2 separate regions of the Mus musculus genome follow, and region 2 is reported to be linked to region 1. The links are microRNA targets in miRTarBase. Many come from high-throughput screens and were not tested one by one. Region 1 holds a microRNA gene; the other region holds the end of a gene's coding sequence.

What was found. Region 1 holds the annotated microRNA mmu-miR-142a-3p (UGUAGUGUUUCCUACUUUAUGGA, at 3,530-3,552, shown strand). A microRNA usually pairs through its seed, bases 2 to 8, with sites in the 3' UTR of a target mRNA and lowers its output. Matches are read on the target gene's strand: a 7mer-m8 pairs with bases 2 to 8, a 7mer-A1 pairs with bases 2 to 7 and ends in A, and an 8mer does both.
Region 2: miRTarBase lists Arntl as a target of mmu-miR-142a-3p. Seed matches in the 3' UTR shown: 8mer at 5,807-5,814 and 8mer at 5,458-5,465.

What each region holds. Positions count from the first base shown.
Region 1 is chr11:87,753,374-87,761,283 of GRCm38, forward strand. It overlaps Mir142 (microRNA 142), which reads left to right and starts at 3,491; the gene lies at 3,491-3,554. Mir142b (microRNA 142b) reads right to left here and starts at 3,582; the gene lies at 3,468-3,582. Tspoap1 (TSPO associated protein 1) reads left to right here and starts at 7,168. Exons shown (of 32, transcript NM_172449.2): 1 at 7,168-7,910.
Region 2 is chr7:113,311,524-113,319,433 of GRCm38, reverse strand. It overlaps Arntl (aryl hydrocarbon receptor nuclear translocator-like), which reads right to left. Exons shown (of 20, transcript NM_007489.4): 19 at 6,538-6,640; 20 at 5,308-5,975. The coding sequence ends at 5,815. Btbd10 (BTB (POZ) domain containing 10) reads left to right here. Exons shown (of 11, transcript NM_133700.2): 11 at 2,695-3,790. The coding sequence ends at 3,005. Among named protein-coding and RNA genes, the nearest start is that of Gm33721, 54 kb to the right of the region's middle.

The DNA of each region.
Region 1 (7,910 bases):
GTCCTTTAGTGACACCTGTGTGCTCCAGGACAACTGTCAGTCATGTCACTGGCCCGTGTCTTTGCAGGAGGCAGGGATGTCCAGGAGTGGATAGGAGGCCCTCTAGATGAGCTGTTGTCCTGAGCTGGCTGCATCTACTGTGTGTGGCTCTAGGGTGTCCCGCATCGCAACAGCTCACGGGTGTGTACCCCATTCCTCACGGCACACACTCACTCTTCTAACACTTACTGTCCTCACGTCCTTGCCTAAGATTCTGCCCCTTTGCTTGCCTTTCATTCTCTTTTCTCTGATTCTCATTTTTAGGGGGTTTCAGGCTTAGCGGTGGTGAAGCCCAAGGCACAGGGGCCCTGAACTCCTCCTCAGTTCCTTGGTTCTTGAGCCCCGACCTTAAGATGGGAACCACAGAAAATTCCAGAACCCTCCAAGAAACTCCCTGATCCCAGAAACTCTATGGCTAGAGATGAGTCCCGAGTGGTTTGGGGCACTAAAAACTGTCCACAGAGGGGACACAGCCTCTCGGATGGAGCACCCACCATTCTGCTCAGGACAGAAGAGGAGCTGGAGTGCTTCTTGGACTCAGGGCTGCCATGTTACAAGTTGTCACATACAAGATGTGTCACATACACATCTGCGGCACAACAGGGACCAGAAGCCAGGTTCTGTCTTTCATTCTGTGGCACATCGTCTCTAGGACAGGGTGTCTTCCCAGTGATAGCTCTAGGTCTGTCCTAAGCCCCAAAGGATAGGGGTCCAGAAACCCAGGTTACTGCACAACTTTGATATTCTTATCCTCTTTATCTCCTGGGGCAGCCACTTCCCCTCCACCCAGGTCTGAGGCCTGGTGGTGGTCTCTTAAAGGAACACTGACCTATTTTTGGCCAGCTAGCCTTGCAAGACTGTTCACCACTGTTCCTCTAGACCTTAGGGGTGAAGGGTCAGGCTCTTCCTTTCCTACTCTCACTTGAGGGTACTGGAACAGACACACTCTTTTCCAGGTTGGCAGCACCTCTCAGAAGGAAGGAAAGCACGTGGCGCAGTCTTCTTTTCTCTGTCTGACCCTCCTCTAGTTCCCTTCTGGCCTTGAATCTGTAGTCCCTGAAGCCAGTGTGGATCTGTGGCCAGACACTCATGGCTTTCCCAAAGGAGATATTAATGGTTCTTCCTACTCCTCCTGCCTCCTCTAACTGCCCCTCAAGACCATTCTTGACCCCAGAGCCTAGCTCACTGAGAGCCTTGGGGAAGCCGGGGTTAATATGTGGGGGCTCATACTCAGCCCCCCTAAACTCCTGCTCAGACTCCCACCTTGCTCCCATCCCCCAACTACAGGCCTAGGCTGAGCAGTTTCCTGTCTTCCCCATGGGGAAAGTGGGGGTTGACATGCAGGTGGGCGGGACCCTGCCCACATCCGGTGGCCAAGAGAACCTCCTGTCAGAGCCTTTTTCCTCCCCTCCCCCAAAGACTCCTAGGTACCTATGCTCTACCCCAGGGCCATTATCCTGACGTTCTTTGTTCTTGCATCCTTGTGGGCCCCCAAAACAGCATGAAGACCCAATCCAGTTGTGACCCACACCCCTATAGTGTGTGTCACCTGATCAGCGAGGCTCCCCTGGGGAAAGTGGTGGCTTTCAGAGATGTTGAGGACACTGAACCTAAGAACGATGTTGGTGTATGGGTTCCAACTCCCCTTCATGCCTCTGCACCTTCCACAGCCTCTCAGAAGAACATACAGAGCAACCCTGCTTTGCTTGGTGGCAGTGACCTGAGGAAAGGCCCATCGGTGGGGGTGGGGCTCAGGGAAACGTACTTTTTTAGTGTTGGGATTCAGGATTTTTTTTTTTTTCTGGGTGCTCACTGAAGGCCCTAGCAGGGAACTGTTGTCTCCTGGGGTCACTTCCAACGAGTCAGTGTCAACTCTTGAATCATCTCCTGTGGCTGGAGCCATTGGGGAAGGGCAAGCCTGGGAGCCAGGAAGCCACCTGCCCAGGGCATGTGAGATGGCCTCTTCAGTCCCCCCCACCCCGCCCCCCTCCCGCCAATACCCAGCCTTGTCGCTGGTTTCCTGTCAGTCTGCACTCCCCAGGGAGGGGAGGGGTGGCTAATCTCTGATGCGTTGTGGAGGCGGGCTCCAAGACCGTTGGGCGCCCTGAGATCCGACCCACGTGGCCTCGGGGTTATAAGCCCTACCCACCCTGAAGGGAACCCCACTTTGGATCCAGCTCTTCTCAGCTCTGCAGCATCAGGTAAGACCTAAATCTTCACTCTGGCCTCAACCAGGGCTCTTTAATTCTGGGCCCAAGGCTCAGAGAAGAGCTTGGGGTGCAGGTTCTAAGTGGAGGTTCCGGACAGCAGGAGGGGCTGGGTGCCAGAGCTCCCTAACAAAGTTTTAGGCTTAGGAGCAATGACTCTTGGATCCACTAGCCTTCACTGGGGACAGCTTTTACAATCTTTTAAATCTTCTTGGGTTTTTTGTTTTTTGTTTGTTTGTTTGTTTTTTGGGGGAAGCTGGGAACCGAACCCAGGGCTTTGCGCTTACCATTGAGCTAAATCCCCAACCCCATCTTTTAAATCTACAGAATTAAAAAAGGAAAAATTAGCCGGGCGGTGGTGGCGAACACCTTTAATCCCTGCACTCGGGAGGCAGAGACAGATGGATTTCTGAGTTCGAGGCCAGCTTGGTCTACAAAGTGAGTTCTAGGACAGCTTGGGCTATACAGAGAAACCCTGTCTCGAAAAACCAAAAAAAAAAAAAAAAAAAAAAAAAAGGAAAAATTGGCTTCTGAGCCCCCCTCTCGAAAATAACAGTCTCTAGCTCTTAGGGAGGAGGGCCAGAGAGTAGGGAGGAGTTGCGAGAGTGGGAGAGTGGGCTGAAACAGTGAGACTGGTATCGGCAAGTGGTGCCCAGGCATTTTTTCCACGCAACATGGCCGCCATTTCTGCCAACACACTTGGATTCCAGCTTGAGGAGCAGGAATGAGGGAGTCAGGGGCCTTGTTCCAATGGGGAGACTAGAGACAGAGGCGTGTGGGAGTGGAGGCCTTTGTCTAATGGGAAGGCTGGGGACCGAGGCCTTTATGGGAGGAGGCCATGGCTGCCTCCGTTGGATTCAAGACTGTGGGTCATACGGCTGGGAAGCACCACCCAGGATGTTGCAGTTCTAAAGATGGGGATGAGCCTTCTGGAGTGGCTGTGGTCTTTACCTGAGTGTCCCCGAGAAGGGAGAGAATAGGGTGGAAACCCGGAGGGGGTGGGGAGTGGAGGGAAGAAGGTTACAAAGAGGAAGTTGGGCGGGGGAAGAAGAGGCTCATCTGGCGCCATGTTGAGTCACCACCCACAAGGCCCAGGGCGGGCCCTCTAGGGGGCCACAGGCAGGGTGGAGCGGTCCCTGGGAAGTTACACGGAGGGGAGGGGGCAGGGGCCTTTATTAAAGCAGGAGTCGGCAAGAAAAGCAGGTGGCCTGAAGAATCCCCGTGGACAGACAGACAGTGCAGTCACCCATAAAGTAGAAAGCACTACTAACAGCACTGGAGGGTGTAGTGTTTCCTACTTTATGGATGAGTGCACTGTGGGCTTCGGAGACCACGCCACGCCGCGGCCCCCTGCCACCGTCCTCCACTCCAACATCAAGGAAACAGGTGAGCATCTCTCACACGCCCTCATTTGGCCAGGCTCCCCGAAAGACCTTCATGGCTCCCCCAAAGCACGGTGCTTCCTGACCCCTGATACTTGGGGAGACACCACAGCCGCTCTCTCGAATGCACGTCCGTGAGGATATGGGGTGGGGCCGGATGTGTGGGGCCTTGGTCCTGCATCGCAGGCCGACTGGGGGTTCGAGAAGGGAGCCGGATGGATGGGTAAGGGTCACGGGGCCCTCAACACTAATAAAGAATGGACTGGTTTCGCTTTTGTCTGACTCTGTTATTGGGGTTGTGTGAGTTCCCCGGATGCCCGGGAACAGAACTGACGCAGAAAGACAGGCTTCGCTGACATGAGCAGAAGACCTTGGCCTGACTAAGACACAGCCTGGGGGTGGGAAGGCTTGGGCCACCGGAAGTAGACTTTGTAGCAACGTGAAGAAAGGGTATGAGATGACCTCTACCTTTGGCTCTAATTTCTATGCTAGCTTCCTTTTACTCTCTATACCTCCAAAATGAAGACTGTTTGCCTCTCGTTTTGATCTAAGAAAGTCTATAGAGCCGTGGTTCTCAACCTTCCTGACTCTGCGACCCTTTAACACAATTCCTCATGGTTGTCGTGACCCCCCAACCATAAAATTATTTCCGTTGCTACTTCATATGTATAATTGTGCAACTGTAATGAATTGTAATGTAAATATCTGTGTTTTCTGATGGTCTTGAGTGGCCCTGTAAAAGGGTTGTCTGCCTCCCAAGGGATTGCAGCCCATAGCTTGAGAACCATTGGTCTAGAGGAACTTTTTTTTAAAAGAGATTTTATTATATCTAAGTACACTGTAACTGTGTTCAGACTCACAAGAAGAGGCCATCAGATCTCATTACAGATGGTTGTGAGCCACCATGTGGTTGCTGGGATTTGAACTCAGGACCTTTGGAAGAGCAGTTAGTGTTCTTGACCACTGAGCCATCTCACCAGCCCAAGAGGATCTTTCTTTCCTTTCCTTCCTCCTTTCTTTCTTCTCTCTCTCTCTCTCTCTCTCTCTCTCTCTCTCTCTCTCTCTCTCTCTCTCTCTCTCTCTCTCTCTCTCTCCTTTAATTTTTTGAGACAGGGTTCCTCTGTGTAGCCCTGGCTGTCCTGGAACTCACTCCGGACCAGACTGGCTCAAACTCAGAAATCTGCCTGCCTCTGCCTCCCAAGTGCTGGGATTAAAGGTGTGTGCCATCACTGCCTGGCTCCAAGAGGATTCTTATTAGTGTAAGAGTTGGGCAAAACCACGCTAGCACAGTGTGTGCCCACCTGCCTTGTACATGTCTACACAGGTCATTGGTGTTAATAAAACACACTTTCACCATCATGTGCATTTCATCAGGGCCTATACACCGATGCCAGCCACATGCATGAACTGTGACATATAGACAATGAGACGTGGCTGGTGTATCATATGGGTATACAGTCACCTAGGCCAAACACATGTTCATTAGTACTTACACATATAATGCCAAAGAATATACCCATTAGTGACATTCACATGTGGTGGCTTCATGTACATAAGACACTAACCGCGAGATCATCAAGATCTCTCTGGATTGCCACATTGATGAATTGAAAAACATTTAATTTGTGTGTGTGTGTGAATGCTGGTGAGTGTACCAATGTACTGTGGTGTGCATTTAGGGCCAGAGAACACCTTGCGTGGAGGAGTTCTCCACTTTGGCCACGTGGTTACTGGGGATCAAACTCCAGTGGTCAGGCTTGGTGGCAAATGTCCTACCCACAGAGCCATCCTATTGACTAGGATTGAAAAACAAAATGTGTTTTTGATTGCAAGCCAATTGTAGATGTAATTACAACCCCAGCAACTGGAAGAGGAAGGACCAGCTTGAGCTAAGACTCTTACCAGAGAGGAAGCTGTCTCTTTATAATGTATAGACTTTGCTTGTTATTCTTGTGATTTCCTCAATAGTACAGTACAATTATTTTAACATTCACATCGTATTATAAAATAGGTATAAACAATCTAGAGATGATTTAAGGCATGGGGGTGGGGTGGGGCTGGGCTGAGGATATGGTTTAGTGGTAGAGTGCTTGCCTAGCATGCAAGAGACCTTGGGTATACAGAAGGATGTGTATAAGCCATGGGCGGATATTTCATCACCTTACATAAAAGGACTTAAGCATTTGAGAACTTAGTGGGGTATCCTGAGATGATCTTATAGACAGTCCCCTTAGGCATGGAGGGGTGAGAATATATATACAGAGACTGCGTGCACATCATGCCAGGCAAGTTTATCATGTACATAGATCATTGTATGCCATTGTACATTATTATATGACAATGTATGTCATAATGTGTTAGTGCTGTATAATGGCATGATATCTGTGATTTATAGCAAAATGCAATGATAAACTCATACGTAATTGCATGCACATAGACATTGTAGCAAATAGACATACAATGACACAAAACCATGCACAGATATATATCCAATGAGATTCATAGACAAAATAGCACACATACATGCAGTGATCTCCATGTATACACAGACATACTATGCATACTCTTCTATACATACATGTAATATGACATGCATATGCATGCTGACTGAAAGTTACATGACATAGCATGTGTACTGATGTTTAGACTGCTTTAGAGAAATGAATGTTACCTTCTCTCTTATGCAACTCCAACCCCTACCCAGTTCCATTGGCTCTGGCCTGGGTGGAGCCTACTGTCTGGGTGGGGGGTGTTCTCTATGCTTTAGCTGCTATTCCATAGGGGTGCCACATGAGGGCCCTCGACCTTGGCTTGTCTTGCGTCTAGGAGCAACATTCTTATCTCTCGAGATCTAGGTGCCCCACATACAGGCAGACACCTAGGTTGGGGCAATTCCTATGTCCTTGTTCCCAAAAGCCATTTTTTTTTCATAGCAAGTAAATAAATAAAGCCTAATGCTAGACAGAAGATGAACTTCCTGATGGTTGAGGGAAAATCAGCCCAAAAGGTCCTGTCTTATGATCTCTCCTGCTAGCCTGTGAAGGCTGGGCTGTCCCCCAAATGTGATCTGCCATGGGGAAGCTGAAGTCGTTTTTCAGCCTATTTCAACACTCTGTCCTTTTGCTCGTCTTTCTATTTTCAGACTTTTATTTCTTTGTTTTATTCCAAATCCCACCATTTCAGCTCTGTCCTTTTCTACAGCTAGGTCTCTGTCACATTGTTCTATCCCCATCAGTCTTGCCTGAAAGGAGAGGACTGTCTCTACTCCCTTTCCTCTGCACCCTGGAAGTGAGGGTCTGTGGGGTCAAGGGGATGAAGAGGCCATGTTGGGGGGTCCGGAGGGGGTAGCTTTCTAACCTACCATCCAGTAAGGAACCTGCTCTTTCCACTGTCCCGACCCTGCCAGCTTGCCTGCCGGTCCAGCCCACCAGTCCAGCTCCATCGTCATGGAAACCAGCAGCTGACTTCCTATTGGTGGGCAGGAGGGGAGGAGGAGGGGGAAGGGAGGGATGATGATGCTCCCCTGCTCCCCACTCCCCATTCTGAGGCTCTGCCCTCCTTCGTGCCCACCATCTCATTTGGGGAGCTCCGGGACCGCGAGGGACCCTTGCAGTCCCTCGAGCTGAGACTAGCTGAGGCAGAGACTATGAGGCAAGCCGCCCATCGACCCAGGCCTCCTTAGGACCGCCCAGCCACCCAGCAAGCAACTGATCGGCGGCAGCCAGCGGAGAGAAAAGCTGGAGATAAAGGACCACAGTGGATCACTGGGGATCATTCCCAGGAACTCCTGCGGACCCTTTCCAGGCAGAGTGGTCGTGATGGGTGGCCAGACTCACAGACACTGAAAGACACACGCCACTACAGATACACCGGGCTTTACAACACTGAGACAGGACCGGCGACAGCATCACACACTGCCACAGCCCTGCAATACAGACAGCCCCTACCCCCACGCAGAAACAACTGGTAACTCTTAAATAGGCACAGACAGTGACACATAGCACCACCCTTCTCAACATACACAAGTCGGAGTATTCATCCTCCAATCACATAATAAAACATCACTGACCTGCAGGGACAGACCTGGAGGCACACGTACATATATACCTTCAGCCAGGCACTCCTGGTGGTGGTCTCTCACCCCCCCACACACACCCCGTACACACACACACACACACACAAGAGAGAGAGAGAGAACCATGAGCAAACCCCAGCTCCAGTCTGGCAACCCCGATACCTTCTGAACCCTCCTTCGTGGGTGGGAAGAGCTCAGCCAACCTCT
Region 2 (7,910 bases), not on the chromosome of region 1:
GCTTGTTATTTTGCTGTTGCTAGGTAACTGGGAGGCATCTAGCCTGAAGGTCAGAAGCTTGGGACATTTTTTAAATGACTGCTAGCCACGAGCCTCTCCTGTGGGTCCTGTGGGGGCAATAACTTCGACAGGAGCCAGGGGTTTAGGAGACATGAGGGAATGCCTTCTGTCCCTTGTAGGTGAAAATTACCACCATCAGGTTTCACCGGGGTTCACGACCTCAACTTGACCGGAGACCAGCCTGTCTGTGCATAGCCCGTTGCCCCACAGGGGAGCATCCTCATAGAAGCATGGGAGATGGAATAGGGGGTTTTCAGAGGGGAAACCGGGAAGGGGGTAACATTTGAAATATAAATAACAGTGCTAATAGCTATACTGAAGATCATATTTACCATTTTTTGCTAAGGACCTAGACACCCTCTCCTCCCAGATGCATGCTGTCTCTGATTATCACGGAGTTATTGACCTTGGTATAGAGAACATTCCCCAAAGGAGGAGCATAAAGTTAAATATATTTAAATATAAATAATATATGTGAGAACTCTGCTTAGTTGGGAGTCAGAGTGAACAAAGGTAATTACCACTTAGTGTTGCTGATACTGTAATAAAATGAGTGCTTTGGAGAATAAGCAGCAAAAGATGAACTCTGTGTGGACTCCTAATGTTTTGCCATTAGGAGTGAAAAAAATACTGGAATCACAGAAGTTCCAGAGGGAATCCAACTCTAGAACAATTGTGTAAAAACACAAAGCATATTCAGGAATAAGTTAAGTTTGTTTTAATCAGTCTGTTTGAGAGCTTTATGGGTTTTTAATTGAATATTTTATGTATTTACATTTCAAATGTTATCCCCTTTCCCAGTTTCTCCTCTGCAAACCCCCATCCCCTTCCCCCTACTTCTATGAAGGTACGACCGCCCCCCCCCACCCATTCCTGCCTGACTGCCCTAATATTCTCCTTCACTGAGACATCAAACCTTCACAGGACCAAGGGCCTCCCCTCCCATTGATGCCAGCTGAAGCCATGGGTCCCTCCATGTGTACTCTTTGTTTGGTGGTTTAGTCCCTGGGAGCCCTGGGGGTTCTGTTCTTCCTATTGGGTTGCAAACCCTTCTATCTCCTTCATTTCCACTAACTCCTCCATTGAGGTCCCTGTGCTCAGTCCGATGGTGAGCATCTCATCTGTGTTGATCAGGCTCCTGTCAGCAAGCACTTCCTGACATCAGCAATAGTGTCTGAGTTTGGTGTCTGCATATGGGATGGATCCCCAGGTAGGGCAGTCTCTGGAGCAATTCTGGGTTAAAATTTTGGAGATGAGTGGATGGCCCCATCCCTCAACTGGGGCTGTGCCTAACCTCGGGATATGGTCTCTCTACAGGTTCTCCTTCCCCTTTGTTGGGTATTTCAGCTAATGTCATCATCCCTGTTGGGTCCTGGGAACCTCTTGCTTTTCTGGCATCTGGGACTTTATAGTATGAGAAGAAATATATAGCATAAAGGTAGTTGAGATTGAGTCATTTGGAACCAGGTTTTAAAACAGCCTGATAGAACTAAGGCATACACATCCTTCTCCTTGAAGCATAAAAAAATTATTAGCCGTTTTAAAGCAAGCACGCATTATGATTCCGTTTGTATAGAAGTGATTCTGTTTGGATGATGGGAATACAGTCACATAGGAAGCTGAATCTTCTAAAAAGCCTAGGAAGGAAAGAGAACAAGGGAATCCAAAGAACCCTTCAGACCTTCAGGGCTGCACCTTCTAATGGTTGGGGACTGGAAGTGTAAGAGAAAGAAGGCCTGTGGCTTTGTTGACCAAAACCCCTCCAGGCTTCCTCACACATAGACTTACACATGCCCTTAGACAGTACAGATCATCTTTTCGGTTCTCTTTCTGATAACCTTTTTATGATACAAATTCCAACTTGTTGCCTTTTTTTTTTAATAGCTTTATTAGAGTCATTTCTTTGTTCTCTGTGGCTGATTTCACTTCACAGTGGTAAAGTTAGGTAGGCTCAGTAGAAACTGTGTCATTTACAAGATGATGTCCTGTAGCCTGTGACAGAAAAGTTTACTGATCTCTAGTTTAGTTCTTGCTGATAGAAAGGAGGGGAAGACTTGTGTATAGTATTTTCCTAGGACTCTATGTGTTTGGAGAAGTCTCTTTACTAATAAATAATTGAAAGCTTTCTGAAACTTTGGGTTGTTTTTACTAGTTGTTACTTTTAGTGACTATGATTCAAAAAAATTATAATTAAGTAAAGCTCTTTGTAGATAGAAATTTAATTCACTGTCGAAAGTCATAATAAAATGGTGTAATATTAAAATATTGCCCTTGCTAAGCTAGCTGCAGAATTTAAGAACCTGTTAGAGAGCTGATTATTCTTTATTATTTAACAAAAATTCTAAAGCAATATAAAGATAAGGCTGGAGCTTAAGGAAGCTAGAAGACTAATGGAGCCAGAAATTTCGGGCCTTTCTGCTCAGTCATCCCGTGAGGAGAATGAGTGCTGCTGGTACTCGGATAAAGCCTAGACCCACTGCAGATTACACACCACTGAATGGAGAGCCACCCTCCATGGTCCCACTTAAAAGTGTTTTGTGGGGGTTGAGTACTAAGTAACTTAAAAGCTCTCAACAGCTAACTTGAATGAGAAGTTGTAAGTGTCCCCTTTTAAAATTCCTTTCTTTCCTCCAGGCTATCCTACCTACAAAGAAAAAGTAAAGAAAAGGCCAGGGGGCCGTCCAGAAGTCATTTACAATTATGTCCAAAGACCCTTCATTCGAATGTCCTGGGAGAAGGAGGAAGGAAAGAGTCGGCATGTAGACTTTCAGTGTGTAAAGAGTAAATCCATTACCAATCTGGCAGCAGCTGCTGCAGACATTCCCCAGGACCAGCTAGTAGTCATGCACCCTACTCCACAGGTGGACGAGCTGGATATCCTTCCCAGCCACCCTGCCTCGGGCAACAATGACCTCGATCCTGATGCACAGAATCCAATGCTGTGATGCTGATGTTCCTGAAACCATAGCATGCTACTCTTCACAGTGACGTCGTACTCCTCCTTCTGCACTGCGAGGCCACTTTTCTTCATTGTGAGATGCACATGTTTAGGATACTGCAGTGTAGGCTTTTTTAAAGACCAAAGGTAGCTGAATGGTTTTTTAATGAGTACAACTTTAGCATCCTCGTTCGAGTTCTATAAATGTATTTGTTTACCAGTAGGTTTGTGAAATTGGTTCTTTGTATGGGGACAGTCCTTTTTCACATATCTAGGTTTTCTCAGAAGTGGTGGGAATTTGGCAGCTGGGGTACTTTAAGTGTAGATTGATATTTATCTTGCCTCAGGTAAGATGAATATTACAAAGTTGCACTTTATAGATGGTGGTTAAATGGAGCTGTTGAAGCCATTTTAGAGCTGTGATGCACAGTATAACATAAGTGCTTCTATCAGAGTATTCCTCAGTACAGTATGTATAGTTGGCCCACATCAAGCAAAAACATATTTATCTTGGGTTTATTTAAACAATTAGGATAAAATTTGATGCTTATAGTGTTGGTTCACTCATCTCCAGAGCCCTGCAGCCCTATTAGAGTGAGTCACATGCAGGGAGGGTGAACGTCAAGAGGTGGTTTACTGTCCAGTCTGCCTTATCCTTAATCTGTTCATATATTTATTTACTAATGCTTTTTTCTTAAGAGTTATGGGATAGAAAAACAAACTGTTTGCTCTTCATTTACTAAATGATTGTAAACTCGAGTTTTTCATCAAAATAAAATTTCATTGTTTTAATGTTTCTGACCAACTTTATGAACACCTTGGCTAGATTCTGTGTCATATATGTTATGTATAACTAGAAATCAAATGACAGTTTTTTTTTTTTTTTTTTTTTTTTTTTTTGGTTTTTCGAGACAGGGTTTCTCTGTATAGCCCTGGCTGTCCTGGAGCTCACTTTGTAGACCAGGCTGGCCTCGAACTCAGAAATACGCCTGCCTCTGCCTCCCGAGTGCTGGGATTAAAGGCGTGCGCCACCACGCCCGGCTCAAATGACAGTTTTAAAAGCGCTTTGGTATATTTGCAAGAGGCACTTAGATTTCCTATAAGTTCAGGAAAAATGCTATAAATCCAAAGCAGTTGATCAAGATTTTCAGGATATGAAAATGGAATGACGCCTGTATTAGGAACCCTAACTTTCAGAACTAGTTTCTAATTAATTCAATATTCTTTCCATCAAATACTCTAAATATTTCATGGTTTACAACAAAGATTCATATTTTAAGTGCTTTGGGTCTTAGATCACTTAACTCTTTGTAGCCATACAAATAGTCCAGGACTGCCCTCTGAGCCACAGAATTGCCATCTTGGAGTGCTCAGCTGTGCCTGTTTGCAAAAGAACACTCGATAGGCTTTTTGACTGTTTATATCCCCCCAAGGAGATGTGGAGACAATCACAAGACCTTCCTCACCTGCGTGTCCAGCTGTTCCGCCTCCAGTTCTATACAACTCTGCCTTTAACTGGGCATGGCCTTGGAGGGAATAAGAATATATAAGGCTGGGGAAGATGAGGAAAAGGTTAAGGCTCCATCTGGATGCCTATGGGAAACCTGTTTTCTCAGCTGGGTAAAGGCTTTCTTTTTTTTTTTTTTTTTTAATTTATTATTAAATGTAAGTACACTGTAGCTGTCTTCAGACACACCAGAAGAGGGCACCAGATCTCATTACGGATGGTTGTGAGCCTCCATGTGGTTGCTGGGATTTGAATTCAGGACCTTCAGAAGAGCAGTCAGTGCTCTTAACTGCTGAGCCATCTCTCCAGCCCCAGTAAAGGCTTTCTAGTGTGGCCTTTGAGTAGGAGCATACCTGTAGGGAACCTCTCGCCTGTGTCTGTATGGAAGCCCAGTAAACCAACCCATTGGTTTCCAGAGTGAACTTTAGTTTGGTGGGATCACATCTCAGTTTGTCGATGGGACCATAGAAAGAGAGCAGATGCCGTCGCTTACATCTACCCCTGGTAGACTTGAGCACACCATGTAACTGCAGGTCTAGAGAAGCCAGCTTGTAATCTTGAAATCTAAGCACTGGAAATTGGAGTTGATATCTTTGTTTTCATATAAGTTGAGGTGGCTACAGTTTGGAAGTGAGCTATTTTTATAATATGTCTAAGCTGGTAGCATGGAAGAAGTCATTATAAGAGCAAAAGGACATTGTAAACATAACAGCAGGAATGTGTTTAGACCGCTGGTGAAGTGGATGAACCAGCCCTGTAGCATATGAAGATTTTCTTCCTAATTATCAATTGGGAACAGTACTTATAGAACAAGGGAAACATTTATTAAAAATATTTAACTGTCTAATACATTATACTTTAACCCATATTTATAGTAAAGGATTCTTACAAGGAAGAATAAACAGCTTTATGATACAATTAGTATAAGAAATATCCACATGGGGGACTTCTTTGTAGTGTAAAAACACCATACATCTGAAATGACCATTTTGCATATAAAAGCTACCAATGATGCTTCTGTGCACAATGATTAAAAAATTCAACACAAACAAAATCCAAAATATACAATTAATGCAAGCTATCCACAGCTAGCCCAAACTCAATGATGAGGAAACACTGGAGCAGGTTTAGTTCCACTTTGTCTGAAGTTACACATGGTAGATTGACTTGTATCAATGGCTCTGAGGTGGCTTTTATGGAGTCAGTACATAAAAGCTGTTCTCTCTCTATCCAGTAAGCTTCACAGACTGTAAAACTTCACCATTAATGCACTTTGATACTGCAGCTGTTGCCAAAGCAAATGTAGTGTCTACAGCGGCCATGGCAAGTCACTAAAGTCAACGGGGCCACCCAGCCCCGCATCTGCTTCCAAGAGGCTCATGATGACAGCCATTGCTGCCTCATCGTTACTGGGACTACTTGATCCTTGGTCGTTATCTATCATATCGATGCCTATGTGGGGGTTCTCACCTGTGGAAGGAAGAAAGGACTGTCAGTAAGGAATAACAAAGCATACTTATATTTGGAAAGCAACTTCTCAACACACCAATAAGGACGTTTATTTAACAAGAGCAAGGGGTTATTTGGGGGATTCCATTGCCATAACTTTTCATTGTTACTACCCTTTCAGAAAGAACATCTAAAAATTAAGGTCAAAAATCCTTAAAATGCAATAATAATTTGAGTTGAACCCATTTTAGTATTTTGGTAACGAGTTAGTCAAGAGTTGGTTCTAGAAACAATGGCAACTAAAAGCAGATTGAGAAGGGGCTGGGTGCGCTGGAGTCACTGGGGAACTCAGTGCCTCTGCAGCTGTATGGGCTCTCCCTCGGAAAAACTGCACTATGTGGGAGAAAACCTATGCCTGGGCGGCTCTAGATGCACATGGGTCCCTGGAGTATTTAAACAGTTCACACATCCACTTTGTTATCCACTGCTTCAAAACTAGCTTGTGTAATCAGTTCTTAAACCCTCTTTGTAGAAGATATTTTGCAAACTACTCACTCATGGAGGTGAATGATAACACACTTACCAAGAATAGAAGAACTATCAGAATAGGGATACCCTGGGGTCTCCTGAGCCTGCCCTGGTAATAGTCCAGTGGAAGGAATGTCTGGAGTCCCTCCATTTAGAATCTGCAAATAAAAGGGGACAAAGTAAAGTTTCCCACTCAAATAGAAAATTACTATCATATGCACTGTAACTTAAGAAGACGAAAGGTGTTGGGTGGGGGGATTTCAAATGGGTTCAATTTCCTATTTTTTCCCCCTATCAAGCAAGGACCTGTTAGAACAGTCATAATGAGGGGGAACAGCCTCCTCTATAAACTGTTTTCTCTACATAGTATATTTTCTCTACACAGTACATGAAGATATCAAAAGCTGGGTAAATCAGCTAGCTAGGATCACAGCACCCATGTATTTATTTAAAGCCAAGGCTTAAACATCACTGATCCCAGTGTAAGGCAGTGAGTGACACATGCCAACAGATAACTGCTGAAGTAATTGAGGTCAGTAATAATTTGTGAAGAGAAACAACTAGGACAAGAAAACACTTAAGTACTCAGAAATCCACCTGCCTCTGCCTCCCAAGTACTGGGATTAAAGGCATGCGCTACCACTATACAGACAAACCCTGACTTGAAAAACGAGGAAAAAAAAGCATTTAAGTAAATCTTTGATCATCATTTGATCATCAGGTATACCAGAGGCACTAAATTAAGTAACCTGATTTTCTCTTCCTAAGATGTGATCATTGCTATCATTCCTCTATAGGAGAAGTTGAACTGTCTTAAAGTCCCATTCCCACCCCCACCAGAAACACTCTGACCTGGACTGCCAAGCTTCCCTGCCCTGGGCTAAGCTTCAGAAACAGCCTTGGAGAGGTAGACAGAGTTAGGAAACAATGGCTGCTGGGTTTCAGAAACACCAATTTCAGACCTTGCCAGCAGATGGCACTGCAACTTGGTTCTTTACAGTTCAGTTGTACAATATGGGGATCCCTGTACATTCATAAAAATGACTGTTGCTCTCCCCGCCCCCGAAATGTTTTAGGTAGGGTTCATTCATATAAATAACATGATTTTTGAAACATAAACTATGAGCTTGAATAAAAGTATTTTAATGAAAAAGCAAACATTACAAAAACCTTTAGAAGTGTGTTAATGCTTTATAACTTGCAAATATAATGCCTGGCTTAAGAGAGTTCCGCTAGATTCTTACACCTGTTCCATTCAGTCTGTGTAAATGTAATTTGACATGTATAAGAAAATTTTAGCCCCCAACACACAGTGGTTATATGAAGTCTTGCCTTTTCGCCAATTCTAACATTCTTTGATGATGCCTCAGCACGTAAGTATATGTCTCATAAGTGTTCACTAGAGTGTGGAATTCCGGTGAGTGCCTG